Anolis sagrei: one gene and its partners. The protein of the gene in region 2 interacts with the protein of the main gene of each other region in a pairwise test. Links are inferred from orthologs where the notes say so. Each region holds a gene or a part of one and is shown on either strand. Other genes may lie near its edges. The genes, in order: MRPL44, IMMT and DISC1.

Region 1 (8,246 bases), on a different chromosome or scaffold from region 2:
GACAGCCATGGTTCTCCCTAGTACTGGAAATGTCCCAAAGAATATTCAAACCGCTTCCTCAGAGGGAAGACTTGCTGACGAAGGAGGATGGTCGGGTGCTATACCCGGACGTCCAGAAATTGAAACTGACAGCTTGGCGTATATTTCCAGTCCAGTAAAGTTAATTATGGAAGCAGCCCAGAGACAATCCACGAGAAGGTCATACATCTATAAGTGGTCAAGGTTTTCGAAGTTTGCTCAAAATAAAGGGATAGATCCTGTTAAGGCTCCAACTTCTTTGGTGTTAGACTTTTTGGCCCATTTAGTTGATTTAGGTTTATCCTGGTCATCTTTAAAATGTTATTTAGCAGCTCTATCCTGGTTTAGGAGGAAGGCAGGCTTGCCATCGTGTTTTAGTGACCCGATGGTGTCCCAATTCATGAAGGGTTTAAAGAATCTGAGACCACCAGTAGCACCAATTGCTCCTTCATGGAGTTTAGAGATAGTACTTTCGGCCTTGGTTAAAGCCCCATTTGAACCATTGGCGACGGTAGATATGGCATATTTGACATGGAAAACAGCATTTTTGGTTGCAGTAACGTCAGCACGTAGAGCGGGAGAGCTGTGTGCCCTTAGGTGCGATGAGCCCTATATGAGAATACACAGAGATAAGGTAGTACTAAGACCTGATATATCTTTTCTACCGAAGGCGACAAGCAAGTTTCATATGTCGCAGGAAATTATATTACCAGCCTTCTTTCAAGACCCATCTTCTTCTTTAGAGAAGAACTTGCATCTGCTGGATGTACGTAGGGCTCTAGTATATTATATAGATAGAACCAAAGGTTGTAGAAAATCTACTAGGTTATTTTTAAAATACAGAGAGGATTCTGTGGGACTTCCTGTTTCCTCACAGAGGTTTTCAGCATGGATTGTCTCGACCATTAAACTTGCTTATCAAATGTGTAGGAAAGACTTACCTTTGCAGGTTAAGGCGCATTCTACAAGGGCGATGGCCACTTCGACGGCGTTTTTGAAAGGCGTTCCGCTTGACACTATTTGTAGAGCAGCCACTTGGTCCAGACCAACGACTTTTGTGAAACATTACAAGCTGGATGTGCAATCGAAGGCTGATGCAGCGTTTGGTAGAGCGGTGCTTTTTTCGGCTGTGGCATGACGCCCTCCGTCCAGGTTAGCAGCTCGCTAGTCTACCATATATGTGTAAATTGCAGTGACCACGCAGGGAAAATATGGGTTGCTTACCTGTAAACATAGTTTCCCTAGTGGTCACCTGCAAATTTACACAACCCGCCCTTCCTCCCCTCCTGATTGTCATGCCCCAGCTCTTCTGTATGCGATTTTTAGCGACGGAAGAACTGGCCGCGGTCTCTCGGGAGGGCTATTTATAGAGGAGAGGGGGGCGGGAGGGGCTGCTCCAACTGATCTTTTATCTCGTGAACTTTCCGTTGCTGCCGGCGCGAGCGCCGGATATTACCATATATGTGTAAATTTGCAGGTGACCACTAGGGAAACTATGTTTACAGGTAAGCAACCCATATTTTAAAAGTATAACCCAAACAATAGAGAAAGAGGTGTGTGTGGAGGTAGCAAGCTTGAGTTAAACTTGAAAAAAAAACTGCTCTGACATACATATATAAGCTTTGGCTACTATAGGGAAGGATTAACACTCCTGGGGTGTTTCTTTTGCTCTCTGTGCCCCTGTTCTGAAGATTTCGCCGCACTTTTGTGTCACTGTGACAACTGGATTTTGAAGAATTTGACTTTTTGTTGATACAAGGATTGGTAATAAATCTTCAGTGGAGACACGTTTTCCCCATGATAATGACTCTTTCAGGAGTGGATTTTCCTTGTGATGGGTTTGATTTCTCTCACTTCCTGTTGTCTCACCTCTGTTCTTAATTATGAGTTGTTTGTAAGTTGGGTGTTTGTAACTCAGGGACTGCCTGTATTGGCAAACAAGCTATGTGAATTCAGAATCTGATCCTATATGCTCAACAAGGACTTCTCAGATGCACCCTGTGCTTGATGTTAAGTATATTGCTTAACTTTATTTACTGCATGCTAAAATAAGTGATGTGTGAGACATGTGGCTGTACGGTTAAAATCCAGGACTTCCATTGCTTGTATTTGAAAGGGAGGAGAGGAACTTTCTTCTTTTCCAGTACAACAGAAAAGGGATGGAGTGAAAGTAGGCATCCCAAGCAAAAGGATCTATCATATCACCAATCATCTGAAGTATTCATATCTTCTGCCTGGAGGGAGTATAAGGGGCAGAGAAGGTGGGACAGTTTTTAAAGGAGACTCGGGGCCTGATTTTCCCCATAAAACATGATTAGAGCCCAATTTTCCCCATAAGACATGATAGAGGGGAAATCGGGGGGAAAGACCTAAAAAATATAAAAGGAGGCCCTTTGGCATCAACAATGGTATGTTGGGAAAAATGGCAAGACAAACTTCCATTTATTGCTAGACTACCTTCTCTTCCCATGGGGACTGGATTTGAACTGGATTAACTTCATTACGTGATGTCAAAGGCTTTCATGGCTGGAATCACTGGGTTGTAGGTTTTTCCGGGTTATATGGCCATGTTACCCTATAATCCTTACATATCAGCTGTCACATCGGCACTTTTAATCTTGTACCCATTATCCTGGCCCGGCCCACTTTTATAGTGTCTTGATGAATTGTTTATTGCTTGTTGTTTAATATTGCTTTAACTGTTTTTAATTTGTTTTAGGTGTTGTATTGTTATGTTGTGTTTTGAGGCCTTGGCCTTTGTAAGCCGCATTGAGTCCTTCGGGAGATCCTAGCGGGTACAAATAAAGTTAATAATAATAAAATAATAATGTTCTAGAGGCATTTTCTCCTGACGTTTCGCCTGCATCTATGGCAAGCACCCTCAGAGGTAGTGAAGTCTGTTGGAAGTAGGAAAATGGATTTATATATCTGTGGAATGACCAGGGTGAGACAAAGGACTCTTGTCTGCTGGAGCTAGGTGTGAATGTTTCAACTGACCACCTTAATTAGCATTTGATGGCTTGGCAGTGCCTGGGGGAATCTTTTGTGGAGAGGTGATTAGATGTGCCTGATTGTTTACATTGCTATATAATTGTCTACATTGCTATATAATCCAGTTCAAAGCAGATAATCTGGATTTTATATGGCAGTGGAGGAGGGGCCCAAATTGGACAAAATTTGATTAGCCACAATATAAAATACTACATAAACTTGTTGACATGCAGCCCTTACATATTGAAATTAAATGCCATTAGAAAGTAATAACATAAATGATCAGACAACATAAGAGAACCCTGAGAATCCTTCTCTAAGCAGAGGAAATGAATCACCCGGAACAGAAAAGCGGTGGCTCGTGTTTCCGGCCGGCGCCTGTGCGCGGGGCACCTCCTCCGTCGATCTTCTATTGCAGAGCAATGGCGTCCGCTCTGCTACGCCCGCTGCTCTCCGCGGCCACGAGGCGCCTCCCTCTCCACTCTCAGCCGCGCCGGGAGAGCAAGCGATGGGTGCGCGCTTATCTGGAGCAGCAGCGGCACCTGGAGCCCCCGCAGCGCCGGTGAGAGAGGCCTGTCGGCGGGAGAGGGCGGGAAGGGGCCTCCCGAGTGGACGGGGCTTCGGGCCTTCCCTCAGTGTTGGGCATTCAGCAGTTAAAGTGGTGCCTTATGTTAGAATGTTGAGGCTGGCCAATAAGAAACCATATGCAAATTAGTAGGTCGAAATAGCGCATGCATAGGCCAACTTGGGCCTTCCCTCCAGGTCTTTTGGACTTCAACTCCCACAATTCCTAACAGCCGGTAGGCTGTTAGGAATTGTGGGAGTTGAAGTCCAAAAGACCTGGAGGGAAGGCCCAAGTTGGCCCAGATCTTGTCACCTTCAAAATATCAGAGCTGTAAAACATGTTCTTGACTAAACAATGCATGTATTATTATTTGTTAATACTTGCTATTTATCAATGTTTTGCGTATTATGTTTCCTAATAGTGTTGTTAAAGGTAAAGGTTTTCCCTTGACCTTAATTCTAGTCGTGTCCAACTCTCTCCTTTTCTAAGCCAAAGAGCCGGCGTTGTCTGTTGACTGTTTTATTGCTATAATGATTGTTTCATTGCTTATAGATGTATGGTTTTAATTTGATTTATGTTTAATTGTAGTGTATAATTGAAATTGTTTATACTGGCATTGAATTTTGCCATTACTTATGTGTAAACTGCTTTGAGTCCCCCTTGGGGTGAGAAAAGTGGTATAGAAATACTGTAAATAAATAAACATTCACACCTAGCTCTAGCAGAGAAGAGTCCTTTGTCTCACCCTGGTCATGCCACAGATATATAAATCCTTTTGCCTAGTTCCAACAGACCTCACTACCTCTGAGGATGCTTGCCAAAGTGCAGGCGAAACGTCAGGAGAGAATGCCTCTAGACCATGGCCATACAGCCCGAAAAAACCTACAACAACCCAATAAATAAATAATTCTTCGTAGACACCTCCTAGGCCAGCATGACTGCATGGAACACTGTTACCTTCCCACAGAAGTAGTACCTATCAATCTACTCACATTTGCATGCTTTCAAACTGCTAGGTTGGCGTAAGCTGGGGCTAACAGCGGGAGCTCCCCTTGCTCCCTTGACCTTAAGTCTAGTCATGTCTGACTTTTCTGCTTTTCTAACCTGAAGAGCCCCAGCGTTGTTCATAGACATTTCCTAGGTCATGTGGCCAACATGACTGCATGGAACGCTGTTACCATTCCGCAGAAGTGGTACCTATCAATCTACTCACATTTGCATGCTTTCGAACTACTAGGTTGGCACAAGCTAGGGCTAACAGTGGAAGCTCACCCCGCTCCCTGGATTCAAACTGCCAACCTTTCAATCAGGAGCTCAGCAGTTTAACTCGCTGCGCCACCGGGAGCTCCAGTGGTTGTTACCGTATCTAAATAATTTATTTTGTGCATTTCGTACCAAGGACATGCAAATTGTGGACTTTGCAGATATTTGGTTTTTTTCTTTATTAGAATCCTGAGCTCCTCCTAGGGCTAAAATTGTACAGGTATATTAAAACTAAAAGGAGTCCAGAAGTGTTTGGAGTTCCAGAATTGCACTGAATTCACAGTCCTTACTAATATCCACACCAGCTATCCCAAACTTTTTCATTTCAGAGTATGGTTTAGGACAAGAGGGTGGGCTTTTTATAGCTGTTATAATTTAAACCAGTCATGGGCAAACTTTGGTCCTCCAGGTGTTTTGGACTTCAACTCCCACCATTCCTAACAGTCTACTTTAAACAATTGTGAATCAGACATCCATGATGATCTAATGTAGATCATAACAAGATTTGCCAGTAGATCTAGAACTCCCATCTCTCAGCATTATTATTATTAATAATAACAATAATAACTTTATTTGTATCCTGCCCCATCTCCCTAAAGGGACTCAGAGTGGCTTACATGACAACACTGTGCAAAGTGAAATACATTAAATATACACATAATTTAATTTAAAAGAATAAAACACCAAGTGGCAAAAATTACAACAAACAGGGTTAATATAGAACACATTAATTGAAATAAAATAACAATAAAACACAGTAATAAATTGTAATTAAAACAATGATTATGTTGTTGTTTCTATGGTGATCCTAGGGCAAAGCTATCACAGGTTTTTCTTGGCAAAATTTGTTCAGAGGAGGTTGCCTTGGCATTTGTTTGAAACTGAGACAGTATTGCTTCCTCGAGGTTACGCCGGGAGTTTCCATGACTGAGCGGGAATTGAAACCCTCTAGTGCTTAAACCACGATTATACCATGCTGGCTTAAGTTTGCGGCTTTTGTTACATAACACCCAACACATCCGTAATCACACGTGATCATATGCATTTATGCGCTGTACATGTAGGTACAGAAGTGCTCTTAATTCTTCTGTCTATTATGCTAATTTCAGCGATACTTCTTTCGTTTTAGGCTGAGAATATGTTGATGAAAAGAAAAAACTTAATATGGCTGTGCTGGGTGTTATGTTGAAAAAGCAGCATGTTTCTCTGTTTGAATTTCATATATGTCACAACTCCCTGTTTTCTGTCAGCTTGTTAAACATTACAGAGTTTATCCATGCAGAAAAAGAACATTTTTTGGCACATTATGACTTGAAGTAATCCAAAGTGTCATTTGAATTTGATTTTGTGGTTGTTTTAATTTCTGTTTGAAATCCTGTTTTGATTGTATTTATATGTGATTGTTTTGTGTGTAATGATTTAATATTTAATGTATTTATTTATTTATCATGTCAGAGCAAGTTGAGGGTACAGTTATACTTGCAGCATATGACTTGCAGAATGTATTTATATTTTGTTATGTTTATGTTTTGATGTGGCATCGAATTGTGCCAAGAATGAAACTGCTCTCAGTCGGGGGTGAGATAAGACGGGATAGAAATACAGTAAATAAATAAATAAATAAAATATTTATGCACTTCCGTTCTCAAAATATGTTTAATAATGAATTAACTCTTAAGGCTCTGAAAAACTGTGCTCAGCACACATTTTTTTTTGCATTCTCAGATTCTGTCAGAAATAATTAGGAATGTAGCTCTTGCTTTTTAAGTTCAAGTTTAGACTAACTGGTTAGAACAGAGTTTCTCAAACTGTGCTCCCCCAGGTGTTTTAGACTTCATGTCCCACAATTCCTAACAGCCAGTAAGTTGGCTGAGATTTCTGGGAGCTGAATTCCAAAACACGTGGAGGTGTATAGTTTGACAAACACTGAGCCAGAAGGATTCTTGGTTTCTTTCAATAGTCTATCCTGATTATTTTCTGTTTTCTCCTCTGTCATTATATAGATCTGAAAAGCCTAACTGGGATTATCATGCAGAAATACAGGCTTTTAGTCACCGGATACATGAGAAGTTTGCATTGGATCTTCTTAAAACTGCATTCGTTAATCGTTGTTATATTAAACATGAGGAGTCTAGGCGGCAAGCGTTGGGGCTAGAGAAAGAAGCCATTGCTCTTAATCTCAAGGACAACCATGAACTTTATCTGCAAGGGAACTCTTTTTCACGCTTGTACCTCACACAGTGCTTTGAAGAGGCTTATCCAAAAATGCCACCTGCTGGTATTGAGGCTCTTGTTAACTTTCTCACCAGTGAAGAATTAGTGTCCTACTTGGCTCAAAACCTGTCACTACAAGACTTTACGCTCTGTGCAGAATTTCCCGTGCCAACTAATGTGCTTCAGCAGACTTTCTTTGCTGTAATAGGAGCCTTGCTGCAAAGCAGTGGCCCTCAGAGAACAAAGCTCTTTGTCAGGGTAAGTTCTTGTACTGCAAAAAATTGTTATGCCTTGAAGAATGAGTACACATCTAAGGCTAAAGCTCTACGTGCCATAACACACAGGATATAATAAATAATGTGCCATTGTTCATTGTAGAATTCAATTTCACTGCAGCTTTCCTGTCAGCTTTGACTCCATGCATGCAGTTGAAGAAACAGAGCTGGTTGACAGAAACTTTGCCAGAGAAACCATTGCTGCTGTTTAGAAAAATAACATTTAATACAGTACTAGAGTACATTATTCTGAATATTAACATCACTCTTTTGACATTCATGTTTTACATTAAACTTGACCAATAGAGATAGAAAACAAAAAGAGGGAAGGGAGAAATTCAAACAATATAAATGAAGACTGATAAAAACCAATCATATTTCTAAAAAAAATAATGATTTTCTTTAAGTTGACATTTACAGATTACGTATAAATGTGTAGACACATGATCTTCATTTCATTGAAGAAATAATGGTGAATATTTATTTTTCCAGCCTTGGAATAAAAGTTCTTTTGTAGAAGCAAAAGCATGTGGGCTATAATAACATTGTCCCTTAGTGAAATTCCATGTCACAGGAACATAATTTAATAGAATGTATATCTACAACAGTCGAAAGATATTTCTGATCTGAAACTAATACATTTATAACACATCCAGACTTTTAATATGCAAAACTATTTAAGTTCTCAAAAATTAATATACACATATGCCTGAGTATTTGATAGAGATACTTTAAAATTAGAAGATCCCACTGCAAAATTGCAGTGTCTCTGCATCCAATTAAGTTGATAGGATATAGATGGAGCCTAAGAGTTTGTTGGTCCTCTGTCAGTCCCAACCTGATGTCTGGCTTTGTGGAATTAGTACATACGTGTGAAACATGGGATACAGTTGGATAAGTGAACTATTGAATGTTGGAAT
Region 2 (8,246 bases):
TGAACATGCATCCAAAACTTTAGCTTTTACTCTCAAAGCTTGGGCGTTTTAAGAAACAGACTGTAACAGGTTTTTGAAGTATGTAATTTAGTATATATGCTAAATTGTTATTTAATATCTTGCTTTTTCAGGCTCAAGAAAAAAGTCTGAGACAGCACTATATTCTCTGCATGTTGAGATGTATTTGAAGTCTTCATTTCTCCATTCACTCTCCACACTTCTACTGAACACTTTCCAGTACAAGATCCATTTGTTACAGTTCTGTGCATTCAAGTCAGTTCCAACTGATGGCAACCTCATTATATGAATTTCTTTGCAGACTTTATTCTGACAATGTTTTGTCATCGTCTTCCTCTTAGGCTATGAGGGTATGACTTGCACAGCATTACCCAGTTTCCATAGCTGGTGGGGATACAGCTTCTAGCCTACTGGAGAATAAGTCCAGCATGCAGATCAATACAACATATTATAATCCATATAATAAATTTATTTTCAATATAACATATGTTATAAACATTTGAGAATTATGTATTAGTTTTAAATAGATTCTCAATTATTTTGAATTTACAGGAAGTAGTAAAAACCACTAGTAAAGGCAGTGGCATTTATTATTATTATTATTATTATTATTATTATTTAATTATAAGGAAACGTGCACAGAATTGCACTTTCAATCTGTGTCAGAATGTGGGCATATTAACAAGCAAATAATTGGGTTTCTAGCAGAAATGTTGGTTTTTCTCTTTCAAACTTTCCAGAGGAACAGCATAAACAAAGTCAAATTGATGTAATTTAAGATATCACAACCAAAATAATTTAAATTTAATCTTTCTTCAGAAATCCAAAATAATTAACACAGTGAGGATACACTCATATTGATGTTGTGCTCAGAAGTCCCCCAGACTTCAGAAATAATTACTTCCAAGTATGTGTATATTGCTGTTGTGTGCCTTCAAGTTGTTTGCAACTTATGGAAACCCTAATGGTAGCATATCACAGGGTTTTCTGAGCAATATATGTCAGAACTGGTTTGCTTTTGCCTTCTTCTGCGGCTGAGGATCCTTCCATACAGCCCTATATCCCAGAATATTAAGGCAGAAAATCCCACTATATCTGCTTTGAACTGGAATATATGGCAGTGTGGACTCAGATAGCCCAGGACCCCTCCACACAGCCCTATATCCCAGACTATCAAGGCAGAAAATCCCACTATGTCCGCTTTGAACTGGGCTATCTGAGTCCACACTCAGATAATGTGGGATTTTCTGCCTTGATATTCTGAGATATAGGGCTATGTGGAAGGGCCCTAGTTCAAAGGAGATATTGTGAGATATTCCGCCTTGATATTCTGGGATATAGGCCTGTGTGGAAGGGCCCTGAGATAGTGATTTGCCCAAAATTATACAGTGGGTTTTCATGGGATTCACACCCTGGTCATAATAGTGGTAGGTTAAGGCCCCTTCCACATAGCCCTATATCCCAGGATCTGATCCCAGATTATCTTCTTGTCCCAGATTATCTGGCAGTGGATACCTATATAATTCAGTTTTAAAATAGATAATCTGGGATCATGTCATGGGATATAGGGCTATGTGGAAGGGACCTAACACTCAAGCTAAACATGCTGACTCATACACACAGAGACACATAATTTCATTCTTACAGAACAGACCTATATATCAGGGTTTCAGAAGTATGGTCCTCAAATTTTCTTGACTCCCTCAGATCATGCTTTTTCTAGTAAAAAAATGCAGTCTCTTTTTCAAGCCCACTGGGAATAACATTTTAAAAAGGAAGGCCAGAAAAAGAGGTGGGTGGGTCCCTGCTCTGTTCAATGTTTCAAAAACGTTTTTTCAAAACCAAAAGATATCTAGCCATTGCTATTTTTGTTTCCTTGGGGCCCTATTTGGCACTCCAACCAACCTCATGAAGGAGTCAGAGCAGAAAACTAACCCCGGGCCTATCAAAATTCATTTTCTCAAGAAGTTATATTCCACTAAAGCACCGTTTCTCAACCTGGGGGTCGGGACCCCTGGGAGGGTCGCAAGGGGGTGTCAGGGGGGTCGCCAAAGACCATAAGAAAACACAGTATTTTCATTGGACATGGGGATTCTGTGTGAAAAGTTTGGCCCAATTCTATCGTTGGTGGGGTTCAGAATGCTCTTTGATTGTAGGTGAACTATAAATCCCAGCAACTACCACTTCCAAATGTCAAGGTCTATTTTCCCCAAACTCCACAAGTGTTCACGTTTGGGCATATTGCGTATCCGTGCCAAATTTGGTCCAGATTCATTATTTATTTGAGTCCACAGTGCTCTATGGATATAAGTGAACTACAACTCCAAAACTCAAGGTCAATGCCCACCAAACCCTTCCAGTATTTTCTGTTGGTCATGGGAGTTCTGTGTGCCAAGTTTGGTTCAATTCCATTGTTGATGGAGTTCAGAATGCTCTTTGATTGTAGATGAACTATAAATCCTAGTGACTACAACTCCCAAAGGACCAAATCAATCCCACCCAACCTCCCCACCAGTACTAAAATTTGGGTGTATTGGGTATTTGTGCTAAATTTGGTCTAATGAATGGAAATACATCCTGCATATCAGATAGTTACACTATAATCTATATAAATAAAAATGTAATGTTCGTTTGTGATATTCACAGAACTCAAAAACCACTGGGGGAATTGACACCAAATTTGGACACAAGACACCTAACAACCCAATGTATGTCTTTCACTAAAAAAAATGATTTTGTCATTTGGGAGTTGTAGTTGCTGGGATTTATAGTTCACCTACAATCAAAGAGCATTCTGAACCCCACCAACAATGGAATTGAACCAAACTTGGCACACAGTTCTCCTACAACCAACAGAAAATACTGGAAGGGTTTGGTGGGCAGTGTCCTTTGGTTTTGGAGTTGTAGTTCACCTACATCCAGAGAGAACTGTGGACTCAAACAATGATGGAGATAGACCAAACTTGGCACGAATACTCAATATTTATTTATTTATTTTATTTTATTTCAAAGTTTTGTATACCGACCTTCTCACCTCATTGAGGGACTCAGCCCGGTTTCCAACCATAAAAACACATACAATCAGTAAAATATCATAGTTCACAATTACAGTAACACATTTAAAATAACAATATATTTAAAACTACGGTGGTCAATCGTCATATCAAAATCAAATATACATCATCTTCCATCCAAAATCCTAGGGTGTTGTCTCATTCATCAAAAGCCTGTCTCCACAACCACGTCTTCACCCGTTTCCTAAATGTCAGGATAGATGGGGCGGTTCTGACCTCCGGTGGGAGAGAGTTCCAGAGTCGCGGGGCCACCACTGAGAAGGCCCTGTCCCTCGTCCCCACCAGGCGGACCTGTGCGGCCAGTGGGACCGAGAGCAGGGCCTCTCCAGACGATCTTAATAATCTTGATGGTTTGTAAGGGAGAATATGTTCGGAGAGGTAAACAGGGCCGGAGTCGTTTATGCCCAAATGTGAACACCGGCAAAGTTTGGGGGAAATAGACCTTGACATTTGGGAGTGGTAGTTGATGGGATTTATAGTTCACCTACAATAAGAGCAGTGATAGATTGGGCCAAACTTCCCATACAGAACCCCCATGACCAACAGAAAATACTGTGGTTTCTGATGGTCTTTGGTGACCCCTCTGACACCCTCTCATGACCCCCCCCCCAGGGGTCCGGACCCCTAAGTTGAGAAACACGGAAATCAGGGATTATTATTATTATTATTATTATTATGAGGAACTGTATTAAGAAGCATTAGGAAGGTTGAGAAACACTGGTCCAGAGTAAATGGTAAGTGCTTGGAAACCACTTCATATTCTGGGACACAAGGTTGTGTGGACGGGGCCTTGGATAAACAGAAAACTTGGGAGCGGTTCCTGAGATATAGGGCCTGGCTGGAAGGGCCCTGCAACCAGAGGGTTGTTTGGGGCCTGCCCAGCTCCCTCACGCGAGAACCAAGAGGCAGAGGGAAAGGCGTGCTCTTCCTCCGCTTTAGAGGTGACACCAAGGAGCCCGCCGGCTGCCCTTCTTCTTCCGGTGACCCTTAACGAACGCGTGACTGAGGCGTTCTCACGAGTAATTGACCACTCACAAGGGCGACCCCGCCCTCGCGAGAAAAAAACAACAAACACACCACCAGGCTGGGGAGGCTCCGCGAGGCGACATCCCTCCCCGCAAGGCATGACGGGACTTGGAGGCTGCCTTGAAAAAAGCCACCGCGCGCGAGGCGCCCCTTCCCGCTTCTCCCCTCAGGGGGAGGGCCCTTCCCCCGCTCCGCCGCCCACCCTTGTCCGCCTCACCCTCCGCGGCGGTCCCTCCAGGCCTCACCTGAGCCGCGGTGCTCCCCGCGCGCTGACAGGCCCGCAGCATGGTCTCTCCTCGGCTGAAGGAAGGAAGGAGACCAAGAGGAGCTCGACCCTCAGCTCGTCATAGGCCGCCGCCGCCGCCTTCTCCCCCCTCCTCCCCTCAGCGCGCAACCGCTGCCCCCGCCCCGAGAGGCGGAGCTTGTGTCCACCAATCAGGAAAGAAAGAAGGTGCGTATGCAAATAATCCGCTGTGCCTACGACAGCAAATCGAGGCTGCCAATCCGCACAAGGAAACCTAGAACGAGGAAACGGGAAAGAGTAATCTATTTGCACCCTCTTCCGTTTTTGGCTGCATTTTGACCCTCGCCGGCTGCCGTAGCGAAAAGAAAAGGTGGGCGGGAAGAACTGAAAAAGGAAGATGGCGGCCGTCGGAGCGTTGCGGAGGTTCTCAGGTCAGAGACCGACGGCCCAAAGTACCACATTATCTGCTTTGAACTGGGATATATAGCAGTTTGGACTCAGAAAACCCGGTTCAAAACAGATATTGTGGGATTTTATGCCTTGATGTTCTTTTTTTTTCTGTCGTGTCAGGAGTGACTTGAGAAACTGCAAGTCACTTCTGGTGTGAGATAATTGGCCGTCTGCAAGGACGTTGCCCAAGGGACGCCCGGATGACTTTGATGTTTTTATCATCCTTGTGGGAGGCTTCTCTCATGTTCCCGCATGAGGAGCTGGAGCTGATAGAGGGAGCTCATCCGCCTCTCCCCGGATTCAAACCTGCGACCTGTCGGGTCTTCAGTCCTGCCCGCACAGGGGTTTAACCCACTGCGCCACTGATGTTCTGAATTATATGGCTGTGTGGGAGGCGATCAAATAATCCAGGATCTTCCAGACAGGCCCTATATCCCAGGATCTGATACCAGGTTTTCTGCCTTAAACTGGATCATATGTCCCCACTGATAAATAATCCGGTATAAACAGAAAAACTGGGATCATATCCTGGGATATAGGGGATTTTCTGCCTTGATTATCTGTGTTATATGGCTGTGTGGAAGATTCCTGAGAGGGAATAAGGCAGAACTGTTATGGAGGGCCTTCTCGGTGATGGCCCCCCGCCTCTGGAACTCACTTCCCAAGGATATCAGCCATGCCCCAACTCTAGCAGTCTTTAAGAGCCGTAGCAAACTACTGGAAGCGAGAGCGAGCTTGTGCTCGAGCTCGCTCCGAAGAGCTCGCTCCCCCCCCCCCCCCCAGGCTGCTCTCTCTCTTGCTAGTGTGCCTGTTTTCCCTTGCTAGAGAAGCGATGCGAGTGTACTCTCGCAGTTGGCAGAATTCAACTGTGAGCGTACGCTCGCATCCCTGCCCTCTGCAATGGAAAACAGGCACGCTAGCAAGAGAGAGAGCAGCCTCGGGGGAAAAAAGGCAGGGCTTCGAAGCAAGCCCGAGCACAAGCTTCCTGTAGTTTGCTCGCAACGCTGCCCTAGCAAAGGGAAATAGGCGGAGAAAGAGGCGGAGCATCGCTGGTGCTGGCTTACTTTGCTCTCGCAAAATCCTAATTTGCTACGGCTCTAAGAGGAGCCTGAAAACGTGGTTGTTCCAGTGTGCCTTCCCAGAATAAGGAAAACTCTCACCAATATGCCCTCAAAATGCACTTCGCCACTGATTTAGGATTGACTGCGTTCCCTCAGCTCTCTTTGAAAACTCTACACCAGTTATATCCTACCTTAGAATCATAGAATCAAAGACTTGGAAGAGACTTCATGGGCCATCCAGTCCAACCCCCTGCCGAGAAGCAGGAATATTGCATTCAAAGCACACCTGACAGATGGCCATCCAGCCTCTGTTTAAAAGCTTCCAAAGAAGCTTTTAAACAGCTTCCAAAGAAGCTTTTAAACACCACACTCTGGGGCAGAGAGTTCCACTTCTGAACGGCTCTCACAGTCAGGAAGTTCTTCCTCATGTTCAGATGGAATCTCCTTTCTTGTAGTTTGAAGCCATTGTTCCGTGTCCTAGTCTCCAAGGAAGCAGAAAACAAGCTTGCTCCCTCCTCCCTGTGGCTTCCTCTCACGTATTTATACATGGCTGTCATGTCTCCTCTCAGCCTTCTCTTCTTCAGGCTAAACATTTCAGCATTATTTTTCATACCCAGCATTATTTTGTTCATGCCCAGCATTATTTTTCAAAATTTTAACTATTACATTTGGCCCGGCCATAGGTTTTTAAATGCTTGTGTGTTACTGTTTACTGTTTATTGTTTAATTTGTTTATGTGATTTATATTAATTGTATTGTATTGATTGTTTTTGTTATTGCTTTTGTTTATTGATGCACTGCAGGCTTGGCCTCATGTAAGCCACACAGAGTCCCTTGGGGAGATTATTTATTTATCGTGTCAGTGCAACCAGTTGATTATATTACATTTCTAACAGAACAAAGCAAACAAACAGACAAAATACAAAATTTGTGAGTTTGGTAGTTGATTAAATGTCCTTTGACCAGTATCTGGCCACTTGGAGTGCTTCTGGTGTTGCTGCAAGAAGGTCCTCCATTGTGCATGTGGAAGGGCTCAGGTTGCATTGCAGCAGGTGGTCAGTGGTTTGTTCTTCTCCGCACTCGCATGTCGAGGATTCCACTTTGTGGCCCCATTTCTGAAGGTTGGCTCTGCATCTCGTGGTGCCAGAGCGCAGTCTGTTCAGCGCCTTCCAAGTTGCCCAGTCCTCTGTGTGCCCAGGGGGGAGTCTCTCATCTGGTATCACCCACGGATTGAGGTTCTGGGTTTGAGCCTGTCACTTTTGGACTCTTGCTTGCTGAGGTGTTCCAGCGAGTGTCTCTGTAGATCTTAGAAAACTATTTCTTGATTTAAGTCGTTGACGTGCTGGCTGATACCCAAACAGGGGATGAGTTGGAGATGTCTCTGCCTTGGTCCTTTCACTATTGGCTGCTACTTCCCAGTGGATGTCAGGTGGGGAATACCGGCTAAGCAGTGTAATTTCTCCAGTGGTGTAGGGCTCAGATAACCCAGTTCAAAGCAGATAATGTGGGATTTTCTGCCTTGATATTCTGGGATATAGAGCTGTGTGGAAGGGCCCTGGATTCAAATGTAAGGGCCTTTCTACACTACCATATAATCCAGAATTTCAAGGCAGATAATCTACATTATGTGCTTTGAACTGGATTATCTGAATGTACATTGCCATATAATCCAGTTCAAAACAGGTAATCTGGATTTTATACAGCTTTGTAGAAGCGGCCTAAGGCTACGCAGGATAGTGATTGCTTATATTGATCTACTGAATGAAGATGAGTGAAGGTAATTGAGGAGCAAGTCCCAGGATGATTGCTAGTTCCAGTAAAACCAAAATTGTAATACATTCTGACACTCTAATCAAACAAATCCAATGTTTCCTAACAAGGCCACACAAGGAGAAGCTGTATCTGCCTTTGGTGCCTTTGTTGTATCTTACTGTGTTTTCTTTTCCTTAGGTATTTTACGATCCTTCTCTTCTTTAGCCCCTTCTGCCTATCATGGTACTTGCAGTATCAGCTCCATTTCCCGACTGTCTTTATTTCATGGGCAGGGGTCAACAGTCACTTTCACAAGACCTCTTCTGTCTTTTGGCAGTACTTCCTTTGGGCATCCAGTCTCCATAGTAAATAGGTAAGCATACCTATTAAATGTTTGACATTTTTCTGATGTGCAAAATGGTTTGGATCCAGGTTGTGCCTTCTGGAGATGAAATGACTGCACTCTAGTTCCTAACCTATCACAGAAGGAGTGGTTTCCTGTGTGTAGGAAAGTTTGTTTACATAATTCCATATACAAAGTTAGGAATTGGGGTTAATGGAAAAATCAACATTGAATATAAGTGAAAATTAGGGTTAGAAAATTAGTGTTTTGTGAAAATT
Region 3 (8,246 bases), on a different chromosome or scaffold from region 2:
ACATGAGCTTGCAGTTTTGGACATATACCACATATACTCAAGTATAAGCCAAGTTTTTCAGCCCTTTTTTAGGCTGAAAAAAGCCCCCTTGGATTTATACTTGAGTAAAGGTTATGTATTATTTTACTCTGTTGTTGTTATTGTTGTTGTTATTGTTGTTGTTATTGTTGTTGTTACATTTATTATTTTACTCTATTTATTATTATTATATTTGCATTATTTTACTCTTATTAATATTACATCTATTATGTTACTCTATTATTATTACATTTAATATTTCACTCTATTTATTTTACTCTTAAATGACAGTTTTATGTAAATATTAAAAAACGTTTAACCTACTGATGCTTCACTTAATGTAATTTTATTGGTATCTATTTTTATTTTGAAATTTACCAGTAACTGCTTACCATTTCCCACCCTCAGCTTATACTCGAGTCGATATGTTTCCCAGTTTTTTGTGGTAAAATTAGGTGCCTTGTCTTATATTTGGGTTGGCTTATACTCTAGTTTATATGATACTTTACCATTTCTAATATACCCTATCAACAGATGATTTTGTACATTGATTTTATGGCTTTGGAAATAATACCAAGAGAATTGGCCTGCTATATTTTAAGCAAATATCTGGACTAGCTACATTTTTTTTTTAAAAAAAGGGACAACCCAAAGAACAATCCAAACTACTCTGTCTTTCTTGATGATCTCAAGAAAGGAATATGTCAAGGTCAGCAGAGTCTGTTTTTGCAAGATTCAAATACATATTCAAAGTTTTGTACACTTTATCAGTCAAATATTTTTGCAACTCAAGAGTGGAGTCAAATAGGGTTATATCCTTTTCTAGTTTTTCAGTTCACCTCTTTTTCTGGGTTCTATAATCATAACTTTGATCACTTGGATAAGGACAAAGCAGCAAGACCCTATTTGCATCCCCCAGCCAGATGTGATGTAGAAATTCAGACACTTCCTTCTCTTTTCTGAACAAACATCCCTATTCGCTATTTTGAAGAATGAGGAAATAGTCTTGGCAGACAGGATACCCATCCCCCTTCCCATATGCCAGTCCTAAATCCGTTCTAAATCACCTCTTTCCCAAAACAGAAATTAGCTTTAAAAGGAAAACACAGGGGTGCCGTAATACTGTACTTTTTCCTATGTCCTTGTATGACAGCTTTGAGGGGCCTTGTTGCTGACGCCAACTTATGGCAAGTCTATCACAGGGTTTGATTGGAAAGTTTCAGTTAGAAGGGTTTTCCCATAACTTTCTCTAAGACTGAAGGAATATGATTTGCTCAAGGGCAGCCATTAGATTTCCACAGCTGATCTCCAAGAGTCCTAGAGTGCAAACTTGGGCCCTCCAGGTGCTTTGGACTTCAACTCCCACAATTCCTAACAGCCTCAGGCCCCTTCCTTTTCCCCCTCAGCCACTTAAGGACCTGAGGCTGTTAGGAATTGTGGGAGTTGAAGTCCAAAATACCTGGAGAGCCAAAGTTTGTCCATGACTGATCTAAATTAATGCAGTTTGACACCACCTTAACTGCCATGGCTCATTGCTATGGAATCATGAGAGTTGCCATTTAGTGGGGCACCAGCCCCCTTTGACAGAAACAGCTAAAGATGTTGTAAAACTATAACTTCCATGAGTCCATAGCATTGAGCCATGGCAGTTCAAGTGACATCAAGCTACACTAACTCTGCAGTGTAGATGCAACCATAATCAAGCACTCAGACTGCAATCCCACACTTATGAATATTCTGCTGAATGACACTAGAAATGCTTCTACACTGTAGAATAAATGAACTGACATGTGAGTGTTGCTTAACCTGTAGTAATGAATGAGGATTGTGATCTAGATTCCACTATTAGGCCCAACTATTATAAACCTATTGAATCACTGGTGTTAACTAAGGGCAATTCCACACAGCCATATAACCCAGAATATCAAGGCAGAATAACCCACAATATCTGCTTTGAACTGGAATATCTGAGTCCACACTGCCATATAGCCCAGTCAGAGGCGGCCCTAGGTAATTTTCAATGGTAAGCAAACAGTATTTTGGTGCCCCCCCCCCCAACCATTGATATATATTTTCTGTTTGTCGTGGGAGTTCTGTGTGCCATATTTGGTTCAATTCCATCATTGGTGGAGTTCAGAATGCTCTTTGATTGTAGGTGAGCTATACATCCCAGTAACTACACTTGCCGCACTTGCTCCCTTGCCTGGCCCGCTTTGGGTCCGGAGGCGTGCCTGAAGACCCCGGCGTGTGCACCAAAAGTCACCTCTTCTCCTGACTTTCTCCTCAGCCATTGGGACCGAGAGAGAGAAAGAGAGAGAGAGAGAGAGAGAGGTGGAGATGCCCACCTTTCCTGAAGGTAGGCACAAAAACAAAGGAGGGAGCGGAGGTAGGAGATACCTCCAGCTGGAGGGGCTCTCTCTCTCTCTCTCTTGGTCCCAATGGCTGAAGAGAAAGTCAGGAGAAGAGGTGACTTTTGGTGCGCACGCTGGGGTCTTCAGACACGCCTCCGGACCCGAAGCGGGCCAGGCGCGACGGCTCCGCCCCTTGGACCACCCGTGGATTGGGGAGAGGAGAGGAGGCAGGTGAAGCGCCGGGGGATCGGGAAAGGGAGCCGGTCATGGGGAAGGGATCGAGTGCGGAGAATGATTGAGCGCTGGCTCTGCTCGTGCACCCGGTGGCCAGGTGGAGCAGGAACGAGAGGGGCTAGGCGAGGTTCAAGGGCCCAGCCCCTTTGGGAAGAGGATCGCCCAGCAGCGAGGCAAGAAAGCCGAGGCTCCCCCCGGACTGCTAGGGCTGTTGTGAGCTGAGGGGGCACTCTTCAAGTGGCAGTCGAGGGGCATTTACAGAGGTGCCTCTGTGCCCCTGGCAAAAAAAAGTGTTCTGTGACCGCTTACTTTGCGTAGTGGACGGGCCGCCCCTGAGCCCAGTTCAAAACAGATAATGTGGGATGGAAGGGAGCCATAGAGTGTTTGCATTATTTCTGCTCAAACTGGGACTAGCAGCTGAATGTAGACCAATACAGACACTTCCCAAGTTGCAAACAACATGGGTTCTGTAGATTTGTTCTTAAGTTGAATTTGCATGTAAATCAAAACAGGTACATTTGTAAGTGTAGCTCCAACCAAAAATATATATGGGTTGCTCTGAGGTTTCCTGGCTGTATGTCTATGTTCCATAAGCATTGTCTCCTGATGTTTTGTCCACATCTATGGCATGGCATCCTCAGAGGTTGTGAGATCTGTTGGAAATAGGCAAGTGAGGTTTATACATCTGTGGAATGTCCAGGGTGGGAGAAAGAACTCTTGTCTGTTTGAGGCAAGTGTGAATATTGCAATAGACCACGTTTGTTAGCACTGAATGGACTTGCTGCTTCAAAGCCAGGCTGCTTCCTGCCTGGGGGAATGCTTTGTTGGGAGGTGTTAGCTGATCCTGATTGTTTCATGTCTTGTTTTCATGTCATTCAAGATAGAATGCTTCTGGAACATGGCCATACACCTCGGAAAAATCACAGCAACCCAGTGGTTCCAGCCATGAAAGTCTTCAACAAAACAAATATATATACGTGTTAGCTCTGGATGGCATAGGGAAGGGTGAACACTCTGTGTTGTTAGTTTTGCTGTCTGTACCCATTCAGAAGATTTCACCTCACATTCTGTCCCTGTGATAACTGAACTGTGAACATTTTGGCTTGTTGTGGAACCAAGGATTGGTGATAAAGCTTCAGTGGAGACCCCTTTCCCCCATGATAACTCTTCCAGGAGTGAATTTCCCTTCCAAAGGGTAGGTTTCTCTCACTTCCTGTGGTCACACCCCTATTCTTAACTATGAGTCTTTTGTAAGTTGGATGTTTGTAACTCAGGGACTATCTGAGCTAAATTAGAAATCTCAGGATTCCATGGGATGTTGCCATGGCAATAAAGTGGAATCATAGTGCTATAATTGCATAGCATGAATGTGCCCCCAGATTGAAGTTATTCCATGACCGATGAATATCTATCACAGCAACACAAGCCTGGATAGCCTTTATCAACATTTTTAGCCTAGAAGAGTATAGATATACAGATATAGTCTGTAAATACAATTAAAACTGCAGTATATGGTCAGTGTAGATACTGGCTAGATGTATGCTGCCATATAATGCAATTTAACTGCATTGATCTGGATTTTAGGGCAGTGTAGAATCTAGTCCAATGCTGTCAAATTCCAGTGAAGATCCAGCCTCACATAATGTAGTAAAATTGCACCATATGAATTATACTGACCATATAATGCAATTTCAAACTGCATTATATCACAATGTTGAATTATGCATGGGCAAACTTGGGCCTTTTGGACTTCAACTCCCACCAATCCTAACAGGAAAGGACCTGAGGCTGTTAGGAATGGTGGAAGTCCAAAAGCCCTGGAGGGAGGGCCCAAGTTTGCCCATGCCTGTTGTGACAGCAGGGACCTCTATGGGACATCTTCTGGGCCCTTGGGTGTGTCTACGCTGTAGAATTAATGCAGTTCAACAGCAGTTGAACTGCTCTGGGATGCCGACGTTATAGTTTTACAAGGCCTTGAGCCTTCTTGGCCACAGAGCGCTTCATCAAACCACGACTCCCATGAGTTCATAGCAGTGAGTTGAAAATGTTGGGAGTGGAGATGCCTATTCCCGCTCCCGGCCAGGAGGGGGCGCGCGAGAGGAAGGAGGCTTCCCGGGGTGGCGGCGAAACCCCTACCAGAAGGGCTCGTGCTTCCCCGGGCAAAGGAGAGGCGGCGCGCGGCCGTCCCGGGGAAACTCCTTTGTTTGCTGCCTGTTGGCCATCGCCACTCCCACCCGCTTCTGCTCCCTCCCGAGAAGCCCCCACTCCTCACCGGGGTCTCGCTCCGTGCCGCCCGAAGCCGAGGGGTCGCCGCTGCTCCACATCCTCGGGTGGCTGCTTCCCCTCCCCTCCTTCCCCGCCCCCAGACCGTCGGAAGGACCCAAAGGCCGCCCCGTTTGGCTTGGGAAAGAGGCGGGAGGGACGCCTCTTCTCTCCATCCCTCCCTCCCTCGGGCCTCCCAGGCGCTTCCCTCCCTTGTATCCGCACTAGAGAATTAATGCGCTTCGGCCCCGCTTGAACCGGCATGGCTCAGGGCTGTTGGAATGTTGGCAGTTCACTTTCACAGGGTCTTTCTTCAGCCATCGCGGTCAAAGAGCGCTGGGGCCTTGCGCCAAATTGCATCGCCCAGGATGCCATAGCATTTGGCCAGCTAAAGGACCTCATCGCACTAGAGAATGAATCCACTTTAAATCTGGTTGCTGCCTCTTGCAGAATTCTGGGTTTTGTAATTTAGGGAGGAGCCTTTAACAGCATCACTAAACTACAAACCCCAGAATTCTGCAAGAGGAGGCAGCAACCAAATTCATTCTCTAGTGTGATGAAGTACAAAGTGATGCCAAGCTGCATCAATTCTGTTACAATGAATGAGAAACTCCCTCCTGGGCACACACAAGTGTGGAAGGGCTGGAGGCACTGAACAGGCTGCGCTCTAGTAACAGGGGATTCTTACTTCAGATTCTTACTCAGACGGTCTCTCTTTATGTGCCTTCAAGTCACCTGCTAACTTACAGAGACAATGAAGGAATACTCAGAAGGTTTTCCCCAGTCCGTTACTTACAAATATTGTGTGCAGCACCTGGTATCTGGCACAACCTGGGGATCACAACTAGACAGTGAAGACATCTGCCCTTGCGCTTTGCTATGCTGCTGAATATCTATGCCCAATGTGGAACTCATCTCGCCATGCTAAAACAGTGGGTGTGGCTCTTAATGAGACATGCCGCATTATTACAGGGTGTCTACACCATACACCACTGCAGAAATTATAGTGTTTCCCTGCATCCATCGGGAAGTAGTGGCCATTAATGAAAGGACCAAGGCATTGACATTTCCGGCCCATGTTCTGTCCAGATATCAGCAAGCATGCCAACGTCTTAAATCAAGAAACAGCTTCCTAAGATCTACAAAGATACTCGCAGGAACACCCCAGCAAGGAAGAATCCAAAAGTGGCAGGCAAAAACACAGAAATGTGCCACCACACAAATCTCTGTTGTGACTGCCTTCCATCTGGAAATCTATGTCAACGTGAAACACCACGTGGATGAAGAATAGGTCTTCACCATCATTTATGGGAGACAGTAATACTCGGCCACAAGCAGGCCCGTAGCCAGGATTTCGTTTCGGGGGGAGGGTGATTTTTGGGGGGGGGGGTTCGGGGGGGCTGAGTTTCGGGGGGGGGCTGAGTCTGAGTGAAAGAGGGTCTAACCTAGCAAACCTTTTGTATCATTACCCCAATACCCCCATGCATATGGGATATATTGAGAATGGTGATCAGATCATGATATGAATAAACAACAGTTTAAATAATGCACCAGTAAGGCCTTTTCGCGAACCACCATGAGAATTTCGGGGGGGGGGGGGCTGAAGCCCCTCAAGCCCCCCCCCCCCCCAGCTACATGCCTGGCCACAAGTGATCACTCTTATACCATATGCACAACAGACCTACAAGCACGACTCTGCTTAGCTGATGTCAGCTAGATATGACTATTATGCAAAACCATTCTGTATAAGGAGTGCAATTTTCTTTGTGGATGCAGCAAGTTTTTATGTCACCAGGATTCCTGGATCCTGCAAGATTTTAATCCCCATTGTACAATGATGGTTATAATTAGCGTTATGGGAAATTTCTGGGGACATGCTCAACCACACTTATTATTAAGTGCTACTCCCTAGGAATTAAGTCTTTATACTGAGAGTATGTAACAGAGTTTTATGCTTGGCAAAACAATCAAGACTGTTTTCCTCTTAGGCTGCCTTGTATTCACTATAACAGGCTTAACCGGAAGTTCTCTCACACACGTACATCACTTGATTCTCTATTGTTTGGAGACTCAAGTGGGAAAACATGCATGTATCAATGAGTTCTCAAAGCACCCAAAGGGCACTTCTGTCTTTACAGAAGGAGAGGATTGTTATTTGGAAGAGAAGTAAATATGTTCAAATTGACTTCTTAGAAGAAGAAAAAAACCAAGTCCTTAATCTGACTCATTGACTTCAGGGAATGCTATCAGACCTGTGAAAACCATTTCTATGTATGTTGCAAAAGCTGGATAGTAAAGAAATCTGATAGGAAGATATTCTACTCATTTGAAATGTGGTGCTTGAGAAGAGTTTGGATACTGTGGATTGCTATAAAAAGCAATAAATGGGTCCTAGAGCAAATCAAGTCTGAACTCTCCCTAGAAGCCAACATGGCTAAACCGAGATGTTGGCCATATTTTGAGAAGACATGACTCACTAGAAAAGGCAATTGTGCTTGGTGAGGTAGAAGGCAGCAGGAAAAGAGGAGGACTACAATTCCAGATGGGTGGGCTCAATCAAGGAAGCCATGACTCTGAGTCTGCAAGATCTGAGCAGGGTAACTTGGAGGTTCATCGTTCATGGGGTTTGATGGCAGTTAACAACAATAATATCGATTCCAAAAGAGCCACTGTCATGAAGTGGTTCAACTCTCAAGCTAGATCTCCAGGGGACCCCTTACCCATGGAAAAATACAGGCACACTTGGACAAGTTGAACTCTTTCCATCATGAGCACTAAGGCAAATCTTGCAAAGAAAACAATATAGCATAATTGTCATAAGATGGGAGTTGATTTGAAGACAGTTACTTAAAAACCTCAACACATACTGCATTTTCCAATAATACTTTAAGCTTCACCTTATTTCATCCATTCTGGAGCCATAATGGCTTTATCTTACTAAACGGTTAATAGTCCTAAAATGCTAGGTGACATCAGCATTGTGTCTGTTTAATACAGTCATAATCCTACATAGTCTATACATGTAGAAAGCATAGTTATTGTAACTGAGTGGTTGCCTCTCTCTCTCTCTCTCTCTCTCTCTTGCTTTGCAAGTATTGCCTTTTTGTTATTTGTTTATTGTATTGTTTGTAATGTAGAATGCATAGTTATTGTAACTGAAATTAAATGCAGTGGTTGCCTCTCAAAAATTAATGAACAAAAAGAAAACACTCAGTGATGCCTGAATGTCATGACATCATAGAACTTGTCCCAACTCTTTTAAAGACAAGCATGCCATCAGGAACAACAACATCTTCTCTATCAGAAGCTATTATTATTATTCCCCTCTTTATCTCCCCAAAGGGGATGCAAAGTGGCTTGACATAAAAGCATTAGTATACA

The links.
Region 1: the proteins of IMMT (region 2) and MRPL44 interact in a two-hybrid assay, tested with the Homo sapiens proteins (2 studies listed by BioGRID and IntAct). The link is inferred for Anolis sagrei from reciprocal best matches to the Homo sapiens genes IMMT and MRPL44.
Region 3: the proteins of IMMT (region 2) and DISC1 interact in binary tests that used the Homo sapiens proteins (3 or more experiments, as listed by UniProt). The link is inferred for Anolis sagrei from reciprocal best matches to the Homo sapiens genes IMMT and DISC1.

Annotation. Positions count from the first base shown.
Region 1 is NC_090023.1:235,577,002-235,585,247, forward strand, and holds the start of MRPL44 (large ribosomal subunit protein mL44), read left to right. Parts: upstream 1-3,400; 5' UTR 3,401-3,431; coding exon 3,432-3,571; intron 3,572-6,840; coding exon 6,841-7,309; intron 7,310-8,246. UniProt on the Homo sapiens protein: Component of the 39S subunit of mitochondrial ribosome. May have a function in the assembly/stability of nascent mitochondrial polypeptides exiting the ribosome.
Region 2 is NC_090026.1:52,322,639-52,330,884, forward strand, and holds the start of IMMT (MICOS complex subunit MIC60), read right to left. Parts: upstream 4,500-8,246; 5' UTR 4,406-4,499; coding exon 4,364-4,405; intron 1-4,363. Other genes in the region: MRPL35 (large ribosomal subunit protein bL35m), read left to right, coding at 4,760-4,793, 7,824-7,998. UniProt on the Homo sapiens protein: Component of the MICOS complex, a large protein complex of the mitochondrial inner membrane that plays crucial roles in the maintenance of crista junctions, inner membrane architecture, and formation of contact sites to the outer membrane.
Region 3 is NC_090021.1:60,759,730-60,767,975, forward strand, and holds the start of DISC1 (disrupted in schizophrenia 1 protein), read right to left. Parts: upstream 5,001-8,246; 5' UTR 4,928-5,000; coding exon 4,876-4,927; intron 1-4,875. UniProt on the Homo sapiens protein: Involved in the regulation of multiple aspects of embryonic and adult neurogenesis. Required for neural progenitor proliferation in the ventrical/subventrical zone during embryonic brain development and in the adult dentate gyrus of the hippocampus.